Anolis sagrei: one gene and its partner. Each later gene encodes a partner of the first gene's protein in a complex. Links are inferred from orthologs where the notes say so. Each region holds a gene or a part of one and is shown on either strand. Other genes may lie near its edges. The genes, in order: SIN3B and PHF12.

Evidence for each region.
Region 2: the proteins of SIN3B (region 1) and PHF12 are in contact, whole or in part, in a cryo-EM structure (PDB 8BPA), measured with the Homo sapiens proteins. The link is inferred for Anolis sagrei from reciprocal best matches to the Homo sapiens genes SIN3B and PHF12. Residues at the interface, in NP_056075.1 of Homo sapiens: Glu307, Phe311, Leu318, Glu322, Val323, Tyr324, Glu325, Asn326, Leu328, Arg329, Cys330, Ile331, Leu333, Phe334, Asn335, Glu343, Leu347, Pro350, Phe351, Lys354, Phe365, Lys395, Arg396, Glu490, Glu493, Leu494, Val497, Tyr545, Arg546, Ile547; in NP_001028733.1 of Homo sapiens: Leu20, Met21, Gln23, Ile24, Gln25, Leu27, Leu28, Pro30, Pro31, Lys32, Thr33, Asn264, Leu266, Val267, Leu269, Val271, Val273, Phe275, Thr276, Asn278, Arg279, Ser280, Arg282, Cys292, Pro293, Leu294, Pro316, Asn317, His318, Ile319.

The regions. Positions count from the first base shown.
Region 1 is NC_090034.1:59,381,270-59,392,053, reverse strand, and holds the start of SIN3B (paired amphipathic helix protein Sin3b), read left to right. Parts: upstream 1-6,597; 5' UTR 6,598-6,612; coding exon 6,613-6,711; intron 6,712-10,784. Other genes in the region: AP1M1 (AP-1 complex subunit mu-1), read left to right, coding at 2,067-2,142, 2,597-2,619.
Region 2 is NC_090031.1:34,605,781-34,615,585, forward strand, and holds the start of PHF12 (PHD finger protein 12), read left to right. Parts: upstream 1-5,739; 5' UTR 5,740-6,012; coding exon 6,013-6,078; intron 6,079-6,180; coding exon 6,181-6,491; intron 6,492-9,805.

The DNA of each region.
Region 1 (10,784 bases):
GTGTGTGTGTGTGTGTAGATAGTGCATTGGGCAGAGCATTTAATGTTATTGTATGATGTACAGTGTCAATTATATATATAATGCACATTGGGCATATATATAATGCGCATTGGGCATGGCATTTAATGTCATATATGGGTCCTGCAGGAGGAGGCGTGGCCTAATGAGGCCATGCTGCGACCCCTCCAGAATTGCCAAATGACCCCGCCAGGGGTTGCGACCCCCAGGTTGAGAACCGCTGCTCTATTTATTTATTTATCATATTTATACCCCACCTTCCTCTACCCCAGCAGGGGGACTCAAGGCAGCTTACAATAGCACATACACAGTGCCTCAAAACAACAAATTCACCTTAAAATAGTTTAAAATTACACCATATTTAAAATTGTTAAAATACATTCAAAGTTGAGAACACACCATCCAGAGTTCAAGTTCTAAGGCCATTCCAAGGTCAAATTGCACACAATTCTATATTCGGCATACTGCATTGCCCTTGTTTTCAAAAGCCTGCTTCCAGAGCCAGATTTTGACTATCTACGAGGGGTATTTTTTCAGTAAGGTCTGTTTGAACATAAGTACACAACAAAAGTTTATTTCAAAAAAGTAAATTTATTTTCAGAAAGTACATACTTCACTCTATTTTTCGACATAGTTGCCAAGTTTGTTCAAACACTTATCATACCTCTGAACCAATTTTAAAATACCCTCTTCATAAAAACTTGCCGCCTGCTCTGATAACCAAGAGTTCACTGTAATCAAAGAAGGGCGACCAGAGCGGTCCTCATCATGGACGTTGTCACGGCCATCTTTGAATTGTCATACCCACTTGCGCACTTTGCTTTCACTCATAACAGTATCATCACTGTACACTTCACAAATCTGTCGATGAATTTCTGCAGCAGGCAGGTTCCTTGCTGACAAAAACTGTATCACTGAGCGAACCTCACATGCGGAGGGTGAGTTGATAGTCTTAAACATGTTTAAAGCACAGAACAGAACTGTACAGGTTAGCTACAGAGCGGAAACTGAGCACAGTTGTTCCCGAGGCATGCCGGTACACGACACACACGCTCGTTGCGGTATGCGCGCAAACTACTAGTGTCTACAACAAAACGGACCTTACTTAAAAAATACCCCTCGTATAATAATCCCTGCTGCTTTGAGAAAGCTCAGAATATCCTTAAGGATCCATTTCACCTTGGATATTCTTCTTTTTTTTGAATTATTAGCATCTGGCAGATAAGATAGGGTGATTAAAAACAAGGACAGATTGGCCGAGAGAGAGCTTTGATTCTATATTGAACTCTAAGGCTTTCATACTGGTATGACTTTACAGGGTTGTGAAATAGTTATGAGAATGTGGAAGGATGGGTGCTTTGTTTTTGCAGTTCTACATGCAATTGCATGACGTACAATGACAGTAAAGTTCTCCGACCACATCTCCGTCTACAAACCCACACGGTCCCTTCGTTCATCTGGAGAGGCCCTGCTCACGATCCCACCTGCGTCACAAGCGCAGTTGGTGGTGACGAGGGACAGGGCCTTCTCTGTGGTAGCCCCCCGACTCTGGAATACCCTTCCCAAGGACATCAGACAAGCCCCTACATTGGCAGTTTTCAGGAAGAGCTTGAAGACTTGGCTATTCCGGTGTGCCTTTCCAGAATAGGAATCCCAGCAATCATGTCCCAGAAGCACTTTAATAGAGATTTAAGATTGTCTGCACTTTGCACTTACCCTAAATCCCTATATTCCACCTGTCATACCCAGCACTTTTTAATCTGTACCCATTACATTTGGCCCAGCCCTAGTTTTATTGGGTTACTGTGTATTGTTTTATTATTGTACTGTTACTGCTTTAATGTTTCGATTTGCTTTATGATTTATGTGTATTTGTTATATTGTTGTTTTATTGAGGCCTTTGGTCTTTGTAAGCCGCATCAAGTCCTTCGGGAGATGCTAGCGGGGTACAAATAAGGTTAATAATAATAATAAGTTATTATATACTGTTATTATTCTATTCTTTTCTGAAGCACTTGGGGTTGCAATATATCTCCTTCTCTCCTTAGGTCCGCTACTTGAAGATCATCGAGAAGAGCGGCTACCAGGCCTTGCCGTGGGTGCGATACATCACGCAGAACGGAGGTGCGTTGACAACAGAAAAAAGGAAAAGCACAATCAAATCCCTTCCGACAGATGGCCATCCAGCCTCTGTTTCAAAGCCTCCAGGGAAGGAGCTTCCACTGGATTCTGAGGCAGAGAGTTCCACTGTTGAACAGCTTTATGTGTTTTATCTCAGATAACCAAAAATGGTGGTAATGGGTAATATAAGGTGGAACACTATATCTCTAAGTGGGGGGCAGTAGTAAAGTGCAGGGACTGTAAATTGGGGTCATAACTGGGAGCCAGCATTTTTCTGGGGAAATCGTCTAATCAAAAGCACAGTGGAACATATCTTGTAATTTTTATTATATAATAATATAATATAATTAGAATGATTTATTATTATTATTATTATTATTATTATTATTATTATTTTCACGTTTCCTTCAGGAGGGTCTAGCTTTGCTCACTCATCCGTTTTGTCTTTTTTGTCTAGATTACCAGCTACGGACGCAGTAGCATGTGGCCAAAAATAAGTCCCATTCCGGAGTGCGTTTGGTGCTTGGAGGTCTGGGGAAAAGCCCCGTTCAGTGTTGTCCGTCTTAGGAGTAGCTGTTGCCCGGGAAGGAGGCCGGAGCCTTGCAAGTATTAGCCTGAGTATTAGCTCCTTCTCCTCTATAGATGGGGAGGGAGAGAGAGAGAGATCCATGTTGGTGCCTCTTCTTCGTTCGAGCCAATCCCAGGTTGCCATTTCATCCCAGGTTTGCGTGTTATTGTGTTTCGTTTCCCCCCAAAGCAATGGCTTTCTCTCTTTGTGAAGTCCATGCCATGTTTTGCAAACAACTGCCTTAATGCTGGTTTCTTTGAAGGCAGGTTTAGCCCAACCCCAATGTTGCTTCTGTCCCATTATAAGTCTATGGGTTCGAGGTCAGGTTTGGCAACGGTTCACAAACAACCTCATAATTGACCATAACCCTTGTAGCTCGTTGTGTCGGTGTCTCTTCTGAATAAATTTCATTTCTCATGATCCGAACCTTGGCTCCACTTTCATCTGTTTGACGACCTCAGGTATAATATAATGGTATAGTAATATATAATACTGATATTGTACTATGCTAAAAATATGGCAGAGAGATGTCAACTCTGTTGCTAAGAAAAAGATCTATGCCAGTGCAAAAGCTGAGGTCCAAAGGACAAGAGAAGTCAAGAACATCTGGTGGACAAAGAAGGCTGAAGAAATCTGGCAAGACGAAGAAGCCCAATATTCCTAAATAAGTTGAAGAATGTTGCACCATTAAGCTGTATTTCTGGCATTGCAGAGGGATTGGTCGGTGCCTTTTGCTGGAAGATCACTTTGGTTTTCTCAGTGTTCAGTGAGAGCCTGAGCTTCCCATATGCTTCTGCAAAGGTATTTAGAGAGGCATGTAGGTTTTCTTCTGAATGCGCACAGACTACGTTATCATCGGCATATTGGAGTTCTATAACAGATGTTGTGACCTTGGTTTTGGCTTTCAGTGGGCAGAGGTGAAATAGCTGCCACATAGCCATTAGAGGGCATCTTTTAATAGGGAGTGAATAAAGGGCCTGCTTTTCTGCAATGAGACACTAGATGGCGGCCTTGTATACGGCTTGTGTCGGCCTTTCTCAGTATTTATTTGTAGTGTCAGGGCAACCAGTCGATTATATTACATTTCTAACAGAACAAAGCAAACAAACAGACAAAATACAAAATATGTGAGTTTGGTAGTTGATTAAATGTCCTTTGACCAGTATCTGGCCACTTGGAGTGCTTCTGGTGTTGCCGCAAGAAGGTCCTCCATTGTGCATGTGGCAGGGCTCAGGTTGCATTGCAGCAAGTGGTCTGTAGTTTGCTCTTCTCCACACTTGCATGTCGAGGATTCCACTTTGTAGCCCCATTTCTGAAGGTTGGCTCTGCATCTCGTGGTGCCAGAGCGCAGTCTGTTCAGTGCCTTCCAAATCGCCCAGTCTTCTTTGTGCCCAGGGGGGGGGTCTCTCATTTGGTATCAGCCATTGCTTGAGGTTCTGGGTTTGAGCCTGCCACTTTTGGACTCCCGCTTGCTGAGGTGTTCCAGCGAGCGTCTCTGTAGATCTTAGAAAACTATTTCTAGATTTAAGTCGTTGACGTGCTGGCTGATACCCAAACAAGGGATGAGCTGGAGATGTCACTACCTTGGTCCTTTCACTATTGGCTGCTACTTCCCGGCAAATGTCAGGTGGCGCAATACCAGCTAAGCAGTGTAATTTCTCCAGTGGTGTAGGGCGCAGGCACCCCGTGATAATGCGGCATGTCTCATTAAGAGCCACATCCACTGTTTTAGTGTGGTGAGATGTGTTCCACACTGGGCATGCGTACTCAGCAGCAGAGTAGCACAACGCAAGGGCAGATGTCTTCACTGTATCTGGTTGTGATCCCCAGGTTGTGCCAGTCAGCTTTCGTATGATATTGTTTCTAGCACCCACTTTTTGCTTGATATTCAGGCAGTGCTTTTTGTAGGTAAGAGCACTGTCCAGAGTGACTCCCAGGTATTTGGGTGCGCTGCAATGCTCCAGTGGGATTCCTTCCCAGGTGATCCTCAGAGCTCGGGATGCTTCTCTGTTCTTGAGATGAAAAGCACATGTCTGTGTTTTAGATGGGTTGGGGATTATTATTATTATTATTATTATTATTATTATTAAACTTTATTTGTACCCCGCTAATCCCGAAGGATTCGATGTGGCTTACACAGGCCGAGGCCTCAACACACAACATAGCAATACAAACTAGGCAAATCAAACAATTAAAAACAGGATAAAGCAGATAAACAACAGGCAAAAGCAATACACTAAAACACAATAAAAACTGGGCCAGGCCAAAGTAATGGGTACAAGAATTAAAAGTGCTGATGTGACAGGTGGTGTATATGAGTCTTCTAGGGCAAGTGTGATGTGCAGCAGTCATTGGTTCTGATAAGGTGCTTATGGGACTTGGTAGTGGAGATTTCCTAATCTGGGAAGGTGCATCGGAAAAGCCAAGTCTTCAAGTTCTTTCTGAAGACTGCCAGTGTGGGGGCCTGTCTAAGGTCTTTGGGGAGGACCCAGAGTCTGAGGGCCACCACGGAAAAGGCCCTGTCCCGCATCCCCACCAAGCGCGCTTGCGACGCAGGTGGGATCATGAGCAGGGCCTCTCCAGATGACCGAAGTGAGCGTGTGGGTTCGTAGATGGAAATGTGGTCACGCAGGTAAGCTGGTCCCAAACCGTTCAGGGCTTTGTAGGTAAGCACCTGCACCTTAAATTGAGCTCGGAATATAGCCAGTGGAGCTCCTTGAACCGGGCTCAATTCAAAGTGCTGGCGTTGGCCTATAAAGCCCTAAACGGTTCTGGCCCAAGTTACCTATCCGAACGTATCTCTGCCTATGAACCCACCAGGACACTAAGATCTTCTGGGGAGGCCCTGCTCTTGATCCCGCCTGCATCACAAGCAAGGCTGGCGGGGACGAGGGACAGGGCCTTCTCTGTGGTGGCCCCTCGGCTGTGGAACGCCCTTCCCATGGACATTAGATCAGCCCCTTCGCTAATGGTGTTTTGAAGAAAACTAAAAACCTGGCTGTTTGAACAGGCGTTCGGATAAATAGTGCAATGAACACGATGAATATAGGAAACGGAATTATGGATGACGAATTGGATCACGATTTTAGTTACGAGACGTTAATGTGTTGTTATTGAGATGTCATTAGTTTATATTTTATACTGTTAATAGTTTTAATATTGTATGTTGTTGGATTGTCTTTTGCTCTTGTTGTGAACCGCGTTGAGTCGCCTACGGGCTGAGAAACTGCGGTATACAAGCAAAGTAAATAAATAAATTGAACAGGAGGGTTGACCTCTCTCTGTAAGGGGCTCCCGTTAACATCCTTGCTGCTGATCGTTGCACCAGTTGCAACTTCCGAGCTGTCTTCAAGGGCAGCCTCACGTAGAGCGCATTGCAGTAGTCCAGCTGGTTTTCCCTGTAATAGGCAGTAAGAGCTTCGGAAAGCTTCTGTTCTGCCATCTCAAAGCTCCCTGCTTGAGCGGTGATGGCACGATCATCAGCATAGATGAAACTCTCTGTCCCTTCTGGCAGTGGCTGGCCATTTGTGTAGATGTTGAACATGGATGGAGCAAGTAAAGTAGGGTTGGGTCTCCTGATCCTGCATTTCATCACAAACGTCAAGTCTTTCCCTCGCTCGAGAGAAGAGCGGTGTCCTTCACTTCCTGGTCCCTTCCTTTGGCCGCTCTGCGCCGCAACTCTATGCCCCCCCCCCCCCCCCTCAGCCGCGCGCCTATTTGTTTGGCCGCTCTTTCTGCGCTGTACCCTCTTCCGGTCCGGTTCCTTTTTCCCTTCCGGGCGGGTGCTTCTTCCCGAAGCGCGAAGGTTCCGCTTTGGCCCCACCTCCCCGAGCGCGGTGACGCAAAAGGCGGAGGAAGGAAAGAAGGAAGGAAGGAGGGAGGGAAGGAGGGAGGGAGCGAGGGACATGGCGGCGGGGGGCGGCGGCCGAGCGGGTCCGCGCTTGGGGGGCCGGGCAGCCACAGCAGCAAACGGGGGGCCCACCGGGGAGAAGCTTCCTGTCCACGTAAGTAAGATGAGGGGGGGAAGGGGGGGAGGAGAGGGAGAGGAGAAGTTGGGGGTTGGGAAGAAAAGCCCCTCCCAATCCTCGAATATTGGGGAGGGGGTCCTTTAACCCCCTCTCCCCCTTTTGCCCCCCTTTTGGGGGGGTTGCAAAACGCCCAATAAACTGGGTAGAATGAATGTATGGAACATATATCTCTATCTCTATCTATCTATCAATCCATCTTTCAGACCATCTATCTCTATCTATCTATCTATCTATCTATTTGACTGAAGACCGACAGGTCGCAGGTTCGAATCCGGGGAGAGGCGGATGAGCTCCCTCTGTCAGCTCCAGCTCCCCATGCGGGGACAGGAGAGAAGCCTTCCACAAGGATGATAAAAACATCAAAATCATCCCCTGGGCAACGTCCTTGCAGACAGTCAATTCTCTCACGCCAGAAGCGACTTGCAGTTTCTCAGGTCGCTCCTGACACGACAAAAAAAAATTATCTGACTATCTATCAGACCATAGATACTATCAGATACACAGATACTATCTATCACTATATCTATCTATCTATCTATATTGATCTATCTGACAAAAAAAAATCTATCTGACTATCAGGCCATAGATACTATCTATCAGACTATATCTCTATCTATCTATCTCTATCGATCTATCTATCTGACAAAAAAAAAATCTATCTGACTATCTATCAGACCATAGATACTATCAGATACATAGATACTATCTATCAGACTATATCTATCTCTATATCGATCTATCTATCTCTATCGATCTATCTATCTGACAAAAAAAAAATCTATCTGACTATCTATCAGACCATAGATACTATCAGATACATAGATACTATCTATCAGACTATATCTATCTCTATATCGATCTATCTATCTCCTATCTATCTGACAAAAAAAAATCTATCTGACTATCTATCAGACCATAGATACTATCAGATACATAGATACTATCTATCAGACTATATCTATCTCTATATCGATCTATCTATCTCTATCGATCTATCTATCTGACAAAAAAAATCTATCTGACTATCAGACCATAGATACTATCAGATACATAGATACTATCTATCAGACTATATCTATCTCTATCTATCTATATCGATCTATCTATCTCTATCGATCTATCTATCTGACAAAAAAATACCTATCTGACTATCAGACCATAGATACTATCAGATACATAGATACTATCTATCAGACTTATCTATCTATCTCTATCGATCTATCTCTATCTATCTATCTATCTATCTGACAATCTATCTATCAGACCATCATCAGTCCGAAGACCAAAATTTGCTTGAAGTCCCCAACATCCGGACTTACCATCTGTCCTCTGCTAGGCAGAGACCCTTCTCGATTGTGGCCCCTTATTTATGGAAGGCCTTGCCAGTTGAAACCCGAACCATCCGAGAGCTACTTGCTTTTCGGAAAGCCTGTAAAACCTTTCTTTTCCGACAAGCTTTCAATGGGTGAATAACTCGGGACTGTGTCTGTTCTCGTTTTTATTGTATTTTGAGGTTGGTTGTATTGTTTTAATCTACTGCTATAAACCACTCCGAGCCAAATTGGGGGTGGCGGTATACAAGCCTAATAAATAAATAAATAAATAAATCTACATTTATCTATCTGACTATCAGACCATCAATCTATCTATATCTATCCGTCTATCTGAGTATCTATATCTATCTACCTGACTATCAGACCATCAATCTATCTATCTATCTATATCTATCTATCTATCTATCTATCTATCTATCTATCTATCAGACCATCTATCTATATCTATCTATCAGACCATCAATATATATATATATATATATATATATATATATATATATATCTGACTATCTATCAGACCATCAATTTATCTATATCTATCTATCTATCTATCTATCTATCTATCTGACAATCTATCTATCAGACCATCAATTTATCTATATCTATCCGTCTATCTGACTATCTATATCTATCTATCTATCTATCTATCTGACTATCTATCTATCAGACCATCTATCTCTATCTATCTATCTATCTATCTATCTGACTATCTATCACAGTGGTTCTCAACCTGGGGTCCCCAGATGTTTTTGGCCTACAACTCCCAGAAATCCTAGCCAGTTTACCAGCTGTTAGGATTTCTGGGAATTAAAGGCCAAAAACATCTGGGGACCCCAGGTTGAGAACCACTGATCTATCAGATCATCAATTTATCTATATCTGTCAGTCTATCTGATTATCTATCTATATCTATCTATCTGACTATCTATCAGACCATCAATTTATCTATATCTATCTGTCTGACTATCTATCTATATTTATCTATCAGACCATCTATCTATATCTATCTATCTATCTATCTATCTATCTCAGCCTTTCTAATGCCACGACCCCTGAATATAGTTCCTCATGTTGTGGTGAACCCCAACCATAAACATATTTTCGTTGCTACTTCATAACTCTCATTTTGCTATTGTTATGAATCGTCATGTAAATATCTGATATGCAGGATGTATTTTCATTCACTGGACCAAATTTGGCACAAATATCCAATATACCCAAATTTGAATACTAGTGGGGTGGGAGAGGATTGATTTTTTCATTTGGGAGTTGTCGTTGCTGGGATTTATAGTTCACCTACAGTCAAAGAGTATTCTGAACCCCACCAACGATGAAATTAAACCAGACTTGACACACAGAACTCCCATGACCCACAGAAAATACTAGAAGGGTTTGGTGGGCATTGACCTTGAGTTTTGGAGTTGTAGTTTGCCTCCATCCAGAGAGCATTGTGGACTCAAACAGTGATGGATCTGGATCAAACTTGGCATGGATACTCAATATGCCCAGATGTGGAGGAGTTTGCGGAAAATAGACCTTGCCATTTGGCCATTGTAGTTGCTGGGATTTAGAGTTCACCTACAGTGAAAGAGCATTTTGAACCCCACCAATGATAGAATTTGGCCAATCTTGGCACACAGAACCCCCATGTTTTGAAGGGACTCGCTGGCGTGAGCCTCCCTCCAGGCTCGCATGCTCTCCCTCACCCGCACATTCACACCACACTGCCATGTGCCGAGCACGCCTGCTCTCCCCTCTCCCGGCTTGGAGTCTCAGAAACAGCCCTCCCCTTGGCTGAGAGGCTGGCGAATCACAGCAGAGGAGAGCTTTTGGTAGGGGGATTCGCTGTCTGTTTCCAAAAAGGAAGAGAAGGACAGGTGAAAAATCTTCTGCTTTCTCTGCCAAAGGGGATCCTAAGACCATTGGAAATATATGTTTTCTGGTTGTCTTTGGCAACCCCTCTGGAAACCCCCTCGCGACCCCCCCCCCCCCCCGTAGGGGTCCCGACCTCCAGGTTGAGAAATGCTGATCTAGCACTTATATCATGTCCATTTATATCAGGCCTGGGCAAACTTGGGCCCTCCCTCCTTCTCTCCAGGTGTTTTGGGCTCCAACTCCCACCATTCCTCAGAGCCTCAGGCCCCTTCCTTTCCCCCCTCAGCCACTTAAGCGCAAAGGTAAGAAAGGAAAGGGACTGAGGCTGTTAGGAATTGTGGAAGTTGAAGTACAAAACACCTGGAGGGAGAAAGGGCCCAAGTTTGCCCAGGTCTAGTCTATATCTATAGTAGGGATGTGCGATCTATTAAAAATGGTATAAATACTATAATTGGGGAAACTCCAGGAGCTCGTTTCTTCCTCATTTTGAAAGCTATTGGAGTGAAACTTGCTACAATGGTAGAACCTGCTTACCCCAGTTAGCCTACCAAATTTCAGAATATTTCACTAATCCACAGATTTTTGGGGAATTTTAAAAAGATTTTATAAACAGCACTTAAAAAAAACTACAAGAGCTATCTACTTGGATTTTTTATACAATGCACAAGATAACCAGGGCATCAATCCCTAGAACAGGAGCCCCCGGTGGTACAATGGGTTTAACCATTGTGCCAACAGAACTGAAGACCGACAGGTTGGAGGTTCAAATCCGGGGAGAGTGCAGATGAGCTCCCTCTGTCAGCTCCAGCTCCCCATGCGGGGACATGAGATAAGCCTCCC
Region 2 (9,805 bases), on another chromosome or scaffold:
TTTTGGGGAGGGGTCCTCAATGTCTCCTTCTTGCGGGGGGGGGGGGCTTTTTAAACCTGTAGAGTTATGTAACATAGTGTTTTCGAGGAATTCGAATCCGGGACCTGTCCGAAGCGGCAAGGGTTGGGGTGGGAGCCGGCCTTTTGGATCGTTTCATGAATAAAGCAGTGTTTTAGAAGACCCCCTCGCTCGCCTGTCGTTCTTTCCCTTCCCCTCGAGGCTGAGATGATGTGACTCCTGAAGGTCGCCCAAGGAGTCCAAGCCAGGCCACATCATGACGTCCCATCTTCCACTGCTCTCTGGTCTGCAGAATGGGATTTGTTGTACTGCTCTACACGGCAGGGTTGGCATGTCCGTCCCTCCACCTGGAATACCAATGGGTTTGAAAACAAAGGGTTGGTGTTGGTTGGCCCTGACCTGTAGGAAGATCGGAAAATTTATTATTATTGCTGGTACTATTATATTCTAATATTTTATTTATATTGTTTTATTATTCTATATAATTACACTGTATGATATTTTATATTTTTTATTATTATCCTAAATATTTATATAACATTTTATATTAATTTATTATTATTCTATGGGATTACATTTTATATTATTTTATGGCTGTTACTATTATATTCTAATATTTTATTTATATTGTTTTATTATTCTATATAATTACATTATATTATATTTTATATTATTTTATTGTTATCGTACTTAATTATATAATATTTTATATTAATTTATTATTGTTCTATGGACGTATACGTTATATTATTATGCTATATAATTATATTATATATTTTATATTATATTATATATTTTATGTTATATTATTTTATATCATTTTATTATTGTTATCCTAAATAATTATATAACATTTTATATTAATTTATTATTATTCTATGGGATTATATTTTATATTATTTTTCTATATAATTATATTATATATTACATATAATATAATATATATTATATTATATTATATCATTTTATTATTGTTATCCTAAACAATTATATGATATTTTGTATTAATGTATTATTATTCTATGGAAATATACATTATATTATATAATATTTTACATTATTTTATTGTTATCCTAAATAATTATATAATATTTAATATTAATTTATTATTATTCTATGAGATTATTTTATATTATATTTTATATTATTATTCTATATAATTATATTTTATATTATTTTATTAATATTTTATTAATTATTTTATTGATATTTAATATTAATGTATCATTATTTTATATTATTTTTCTATATAATTATATTATATTTTTATATTATATTATATATTTTATATTATTTTATATCATTTTATTATTGTTATCCTAAATAATTATATGATGTTTTGTATTAATTTATTCTTATTCTATGGAAATATACATTATATTATATAATATTTTACATTATTTTACTGTTATCCTAAATAATTATATAATATTTAATAATATTTTTTTATTATTCTATGAGATTATTTTATATTATATTTTATATTATTATTCTATATAATTATATTTTATATTATTTTATTGATATTTTATTAATTATTTTATTGATATTTAATATTAATGTATCATTATTTTATATTATTTTTCTATATAATTATATTATATTTTTATATTATATTATATATTTTATATTATTTTATATCATTTTATTATTGTTATCCTAAATAATTATATGATATTTTGTATTAATTTATTATTATTCTATGGAAATATACATTATATTATATAATATTTTACATTATGTTATTGTTATCCTAAATAATTATATAACATTTTATATTAATTTATTATTATTCTACGGGATTACATTTTATATTATTTTTCTATATAATTATATTATATATTTTATATTATATTATATATTTTATTTTATATTATATTATTTTATATCTTTTTATTATTGTTATCCTAAATAATTATATGATATTTAATATTAATTTATTTTTTTCCTATGGAAATATACATTATATTATTATTCTATATAATTATATTGTATATTATTTTATTGTTATCCTAAATAATTATATAAAATTTTATATTAATTTATTGTTATTCTATGGGATTATATTTTATATTAATTTTCTATATAATTATATTTTATATTATTTTATTGATATCCTACTTAATTATATAACATTTAATATTAATTTATTATTATTCAATGGGATTATATTTTATATTATTATTCTATATAATTATATTATTTTTATATTATTTTATGGTTATCCTAAATAATTATATAACATTTTATATTAATTTATTATTATTCTATGGGATTATATTTTATATTATTGTTCTATATAATTACATTATATATTTTATATTATTTTATTGTTATCCTAAATAATTGCTACATATTAATTTATTCTATATAATTATATGATATAGTTTATATTATTTTATTATTATTCAAAATGATATATTTTTATTAATTTATTATTATTCATATAATTATATTATATATTAACTTATTTTTATTCTATATTATTCCATTTTATTATTAATCTGTATAATTACATTATATTACGTATTAATTTACATGTTATATTATATATTTATTATTATTCTATGTAATTATATTACATAATTCTTTTTACAATTTACTATAATAATTATATTATTATATTATTATTTTATTTTTTATTATTATTTTATTATTCTATATGATTATATAATATTTTGGCAATTTAGCATTAATGCTATTATTATTATTACAATATATTACGTATTAATTTACATGTTATATTATATATTACTTTATTATTATTATTCTATATAATTATATTACATAATTTGTTTTACAATTTACTATTATTCATTTATTATATTATTATTTTATTTGTATTATTATTTTATTATTCTATATGATTATATAATATTTTGGCAATTTAGCATTAATGCTATTACTATTATTATTACATTATATTACGTATTAATTTACATGTTATATTATATATTACTTTATTATTATTATTCTATATAATTATATTACATAATTTGTTTTACAATTTACTATTATTCATTTATTATATTATTATTTTATTTTTATTTTTATTTTATTATTGTATATGATTATATAATATTTTGGCAATTTAGCATTAATGCTATTATTATTATTCTATTCTATTATTATTCTATTCTATTATTCTATTATTTTATATCATTATTAGTGTTTATTACTATATAGATCTCGCAGAGGTGTGAACAGAACCGGAAGCATCCATCGCGAACACAATTGCCGTTCCCCTCGACCCATTAGCCCGCTCAGTTATATTTTTTTTTTCCTGCGCGTGCGCTGTCTGCGCCCCGGCGGGGGAGCTTTCTGCGCACGCGCGAACGGCAAAGAAGCCCATTCTTTGCGAAGGGAGGGGAAGAAGAAACAGTCCAGCTGCGCGCGTGCGCACTAGCAACGCGCGGAGGGGTAGAACGCGCATGCGCAGAAGGGACCCTGAAAGGAGAGAGTGGGGAAAGGGCGGGAAACTACATTTGTACACACACACACACACACACACATGTATATATTCATATTTTACATATATTAAAGGAAGAATAAAGAGATAAAAACTAGATATAGACCTCATATTATTAAATACAGATGTGTATATATTTGTTGTTCATTCGTTCAGCCGTATTTTAATAATAAAATAGCATGTAATTAAAAATTAATATGTATTGTAATTATTTTGAATCATAATAAATATATAATATTATATAATTATTTGGAATAATAAAATAAAATATATGACCTCATGGACCAGTCCACGCCAGAGCTCCCTGTTGGCCGTCACCACCCCCAGCTCCTTCAAGTATATTGTATATTGTATATACACACAAACAGTATATGCATATATACATACATATATACTAGATAGTATACACATATAGTACACATAGTATACACACATAGTACACACACATGTATACACACATATAGTAACACACATGTATATACACACACATTTAGTAAGCACACAGTACACAAACATACACACATATAGTACATATAGTATACACATATAATATACAAATATATAATATGCACACATATAGTACGCACACATATAGTGTAAACATATATAGTATGCATACATATGCATATATATACAATATACTATACACACATAGTATACACACATATATAGTACACCCACATAGTACACACACATAGTATAAGCACATATAGTATCCACATATGTACAATATAGTATACACATATAGTATCCACACATACATAGTACACACACATAGTATAAGCACATATAGTATCCACATATGTACAATATAGTATACACATGTAGTATCCACACATACATAGTACACACACATATAGTGTAAACATATATACTATACACACATATGCACATATATACAATATAGTATACGCATATAGTATACACACATATATAGTACATACATATAGTACACACACATAGTATAAGCATATATAGTATACACATATGTACAATATAGTATACGCATATAGTATACACACATATATACGATATAGTATACACATGTAGTATCCACACATACATAGTACACACACATATAGTATAAACATATATAATATACACATATATACGATATAGTATACACATGTAGTATCCACACATACATAGTACACACACATATAGTATAAACATATATAATATACACATATATATGATATAGTATACACATATAGTACACATAGTATACACAAATATAGTACGCACACATATGTATACACAGTACACGCACATATATAGTACATATAGTATCCACACATATATAGTACACACATATAGCACACACACATATAGTATAAACATATATAGTATAAACACATATAGTATACACATATAGTATATATTTATTTGTTTATTACATTTCTACTCCCCTTTCTCACTCCGTAGGGGACTCAAAGCACATATAGTACACATATAGTATGTACACATATAGTACACATACATATAGTATACACACATATTTGTTGTTCATTCGTTCAGTCGTCTCCGATTCTTCGTGACCTCATGGACCAGCCCACGCATATATACTATACTATATATAATATACTATATACACACATATAGTATATTATTATTATAGTATATTATTATATATAGTATACACATAGTATACAGATATAGCATACACATATATTGTGTACACACATCTATACATATCAATGTATAGAAATGTGTGTGTTTTTGCATATATATATATATGTCTATCTCTAGATAAATAGATTAGATAGATTAGATAGATTGATAGATAGATTAGATAGATAGATTAGATAGATATAGATAAATTAGATAGATTAGATAGATTGATTGATAGATAGATTAGATAGATAGATTAGATAGATTAGATTAGATAAATTAGATAGATAGATTAGATAGATAGATAGATAGATAGATTAGATAGGAAGATAGATAGACACACACACGCAGAAAAATTCTTATTTCAAAGATGTCAAATGAGCGAGCGGGCAACAGCGCATGCGTCGAAAAAAGCGGGCGGCCCTGCGCCTGCGCAGAGAGGGAGGCCAGTGCGTCTCGAGCGCAAAGAAGGGGAGGGGCGGGGATGAGGAGAAGAAGAAGAAGAAAGAGAGGCGGGGCGGAAAGGGAGGAAACGGCGCATGCGCTGTTTCCTCTCGCAGCCCTCCCTCCTTTCCCCGTCACAACGAACGAAGCGGGTGGCTTGGGCTAGTCGGCGCCTGCGCGGTGGCCGCCCTGTGCTACGCGCATGCGCTGTGTCGGGAAGGCGAAGTGCGCCTGCGCGGCGAGGGCTGTGACGGCGGCGGCGGCGGGGCCCTGTGTGTGAGGGGGAGGCGACGGCGGTGAAGAGTGGAGAGTGATCCCCTCAGGCCCGGCGGGAGAGGAGGAGGAGAAAGAGGGAGCCCGGGCGTCGCCGCCCCCTGTCATGGCCGGGACGAGGCCTAGTCGGCGGGCGGAGAAGAAGGAGGCGAAGGCGGCGAAGGAGGAGGAGGCGTCGCCCCTCAGCTAGGCCTCGGATGTGGGAGAGGATGGAGGCCAAGACGGTCGTCTACGACCTCGACACTTCGGGGGGCCTCATGGAGGTGGGTCAGTCAGGGAGGCAGTCAGGGAGTGAGGGGAACCCTACCCCCCTTCTTTCTCCCTTCTCTCCCCTCACCTTCTCTCTCTCCCTCTTTCTCCCTCAGCAAATCCAGGCCCTCCTGGCGCCTCCCCGCAGCGACGACGCCGCCTTGCTCGGGACCGAGAAGAGGAGCCGCAGGACAGAGCGAGGAGGAGGCGGGGAGCCCCACCATCACCACCCCCAGCACCACCACCACCAGCAGCATCACCATCACCACCCCCAGCACCACCACTCCTCCTCCTCCGCCTCCGCCGCTGCCTCGGCCCAGAGGAGGAGCGGGAGGGCCACCAACCACGACAGCTGCGACAGCTGCAAGGAAGGCGGGGACCTGCTCTGCTGCGACCACTGCCCCGCCGCCTTCCACCTCCAGTGCTGGTCAGTCCCCTCCCCTCTACCCTCCTCTTCCCTTCCCCCTCTCCAAGCTCCCTCCCCCCCCCTCAAGATTATTATTGTGTTTATTTACACGCCTCAAAGGGGAACCCCCCCTTCCCTGTCCTCTTCTCCCCTTCCTTTTAATATTATTGTATTTATTTACACACCTCAAAGGGGACCCCCTTCCCACTCCCTCCATCTATCCCTCCTTCTCTCCTCTTTCTCCCTTCCCACTTTCCTCTCTTCCAAGCTCCCCCCCTCAAGATTATTATTGTATTTACATACCTCAAAGGGGACCCCCCTTCCCACTCCTTCTCTTCATTCCCCTCTCCTCTCTTACCCTTCCCACTCCCTCCCTCTCCTCTCTTCCAAGCTCCATCCCCCCCCCTCTTCCTCTTCTCACCTTCCTTCCAATATTATTATTGTGTTTATTTACACACCTCAAAGGGGTCCCCCTTCCCACCCCCTCCATCCATCCACCCCTCTCCTTCTCTTCCAAGCTCCATTCCCTCCCTCTTCCTCCCTACCCTTCAATATTATTATTGTATTTACACACCTCAAAGGGGAACCCCCCCCTTCCCACTCCCTCCCTCTCCTCTCTTCCAAGCTCCATTTCCCCCCCCTCTCTCCCTCTTCCCTTCAATATTACTGTTGTATTTATTTGCACACCTCAAAGGGGACCCATCCCACTCCATCCATCTATCCCTTCTCTTCTCTTCCAGGCTCCATGTTGCCCCTCTCTCCCTCTTCTCCCCTTCCATTATTATTATTATTTTGTTTATTTACACACCTCAAAGGGGAACCCCCCCCCTTCCCATTCCCTCCCTCCCTCCCTCCCTCTCTTTCCTCCATTCCCCTCTCCTCTCTTCCAAGCTCCATTTTGCCCCTTGCTCCTTCTTCCCCCTTCCCCTCAATATTATTATTGTGTTTATTTACACATCTCAAAGGGGAACCCCCCTCCCCACTCCCTCCATCTATCCCTCTCCTTCTCTTCTCTTTCTCCCTTCCCACTCTCCTCTCTTCCTCTCTTCCAAGCTCCCTTCCCCCCTCCCTCAAGGTTATTATTGTGTTTATTTACACGCCTCAAAGAGGACCCCCTTCCCACTCCCTTCATCCATCCCTCTCTCTTTCTCTTCTCTTCCTCCCTTCCCACTCTCCACTCTTCCAAGCTTCCTTCCCCCCTCCCTCAAGATTATTATTGTATTTATATACACACCTCAAAGGCAACCCCCCTTCCCAATCCCTCCCTCCCTCTCTCTTCCAAGCTCCATTTTGCCCCTTGCTCCTTCTTCCCCCTTCCCCTCAATATTATTATTGTGTTTATTTACATACCTCAAAGGGGACCCCCTTTCCCACTCCATCCATCCATCCATCCCTCTCCTCTTCCTCACTTCCCCTCAATATCATTAAAGTGGTGTGTAAGCAAATATATTATTATTATTACACCCCACTTTATCAACTCACTTTATCAACTTTATCAACCCACTTTATCAACTCCCCCATCCCACTCACTCCATCAATCCATCCCTCTCTTTTTCTTCTCTTCCTCCATTCCCCTCTCCTCTCTTCCAAGCTCCCTTCCCCCCCTTCCTCAAGATTATTATTGTGTTTATTTACACACCACAAAGGGGACCCCCCTTCCCTCTCCTTCTCTTCCTCCATTCCCCTCTCCTTCTCTTCCAAGCTCCATTTTGCCTGTCTCAACCTCTTCTCCCCTTCCTTCCAATATTATTATTGTATTTATTTACACACCTCAAAGGGGACCCCCCCTCCTCTTCCTCCCTTCCCATTCTCCACTCTTACAAGCTCTGTTCCCCCCTCTTCCCTCCTTCCCCTCAATATTATTATTGTATTTATTTACACACCTCAAAGGGGAACCCCCCTTCCCACTCCCTCCATCTATCCCTCTCCTTCTCTTCTCTTTCTCCCTTCCCCCTCTCCTCTCTTCCAAGCTCCATTTCCCCCCTCTCTCCCTTTTGTCCCCTTCCCTTCAATATTATTATTGTGTTTATTTACACACCACAAAGGAACCCCCCCCCTTCCCACTCCCTCCATCCACCCCTCTCCTTCTCTTCCGTTCCTCCATTACCTTCTCCTCTCTTCCAAGCTCCATTTTGCCCCTCTCCCCCTCTTCCCTTCAATGTTGTTAAAGTGGTGTGTAAACAAACTTATTATGATTGTTGTTATTATATTTGTTTACACACCACTTTATCAACCCAAAGGGGACCCCTTCCCATTCCCTTCATCCAGCCATCTTTCCCTTCTTTTCCTCCATTCCCCCCTTTCTCTCCCCAACAACTTTTCACCCAGATCCCCCTCATCCTACCTTCCCTTTCCTTTCCTTTCTCATCCCTTCTTTTCTCTTCCTCCCTTCCACCTTTCCACTCTTCCAAGATCCATTTCGCCCATATCTCCCTCTTCCTCCATTCCCTTCAATATTATTATTATTATTATTATTATTAATAATAATAATAATAATAATAATAATAATAGAGGTAGTAGTGGTAGTATTATGCTTGTTTACACACCACTTTATCAACTCAAAGGGGACCCCCCTTTCGCTTCATCCATCCATCCTTCGCCTTCCGCTCTTTTCCTCTATTCTCTCCATTTTCTCCCCAACACCTTTTCACCCAGATCCTACCTTCCCTTCCCTTCTCCCTCCTTTCTCTTCCTTTCCCTTCCCTTCCTCCACTCCTGCTCTCCACTCTTCCAAGATCCATTTCACCCTAGTCCCTTTGGGGAGATGATTGCAGGATATAACAATATACTTGTTATTATTCTTATTATCATCGCTCCCTCTTCCTACCCTTCCTTCACCCCTTCCTTTCTCTTCTCTTCTTTTCACTTTCTCCGCTCTTCCAAGCTCAATTTTGCCCATCTCCCCCTCTTCCTTCCCTTCATCCATCCTTCAATCCACCCCCTTTCTTTCTCTTCTTTTCTTCCTCTGTTCCGTACTCCCTCTCCTCTTCTCTTTCCCTTCCTTTCCTTTCCCTGCTTTTCCTCCTTTCCCCCTCTCCTTTCTTCCAAACTCTGTTTCACCCATCTCCCTCTTCCTACCTTCTTTCTCTTCATTCCTCGTCTTCACTCTTCCAAGCTCCATTTCGCTCAAGTCCCTTTGGGGACACGGTGGCAGGATAGAAGAATATAGCTGTTGTTATTATTATCTCTCCTTTCTTCCTACCCTCTCTTCGCCCCATCCTCTCCCTTCTTTTCACTTCCTCCATTTCCTACCTTCTCTTCATCCATCCATGCATCCATCCTTTCCCTTCTCTTCTTTTCCTCCCTTCCCCCTCTCCTCCTCTCTTCACTCCCCA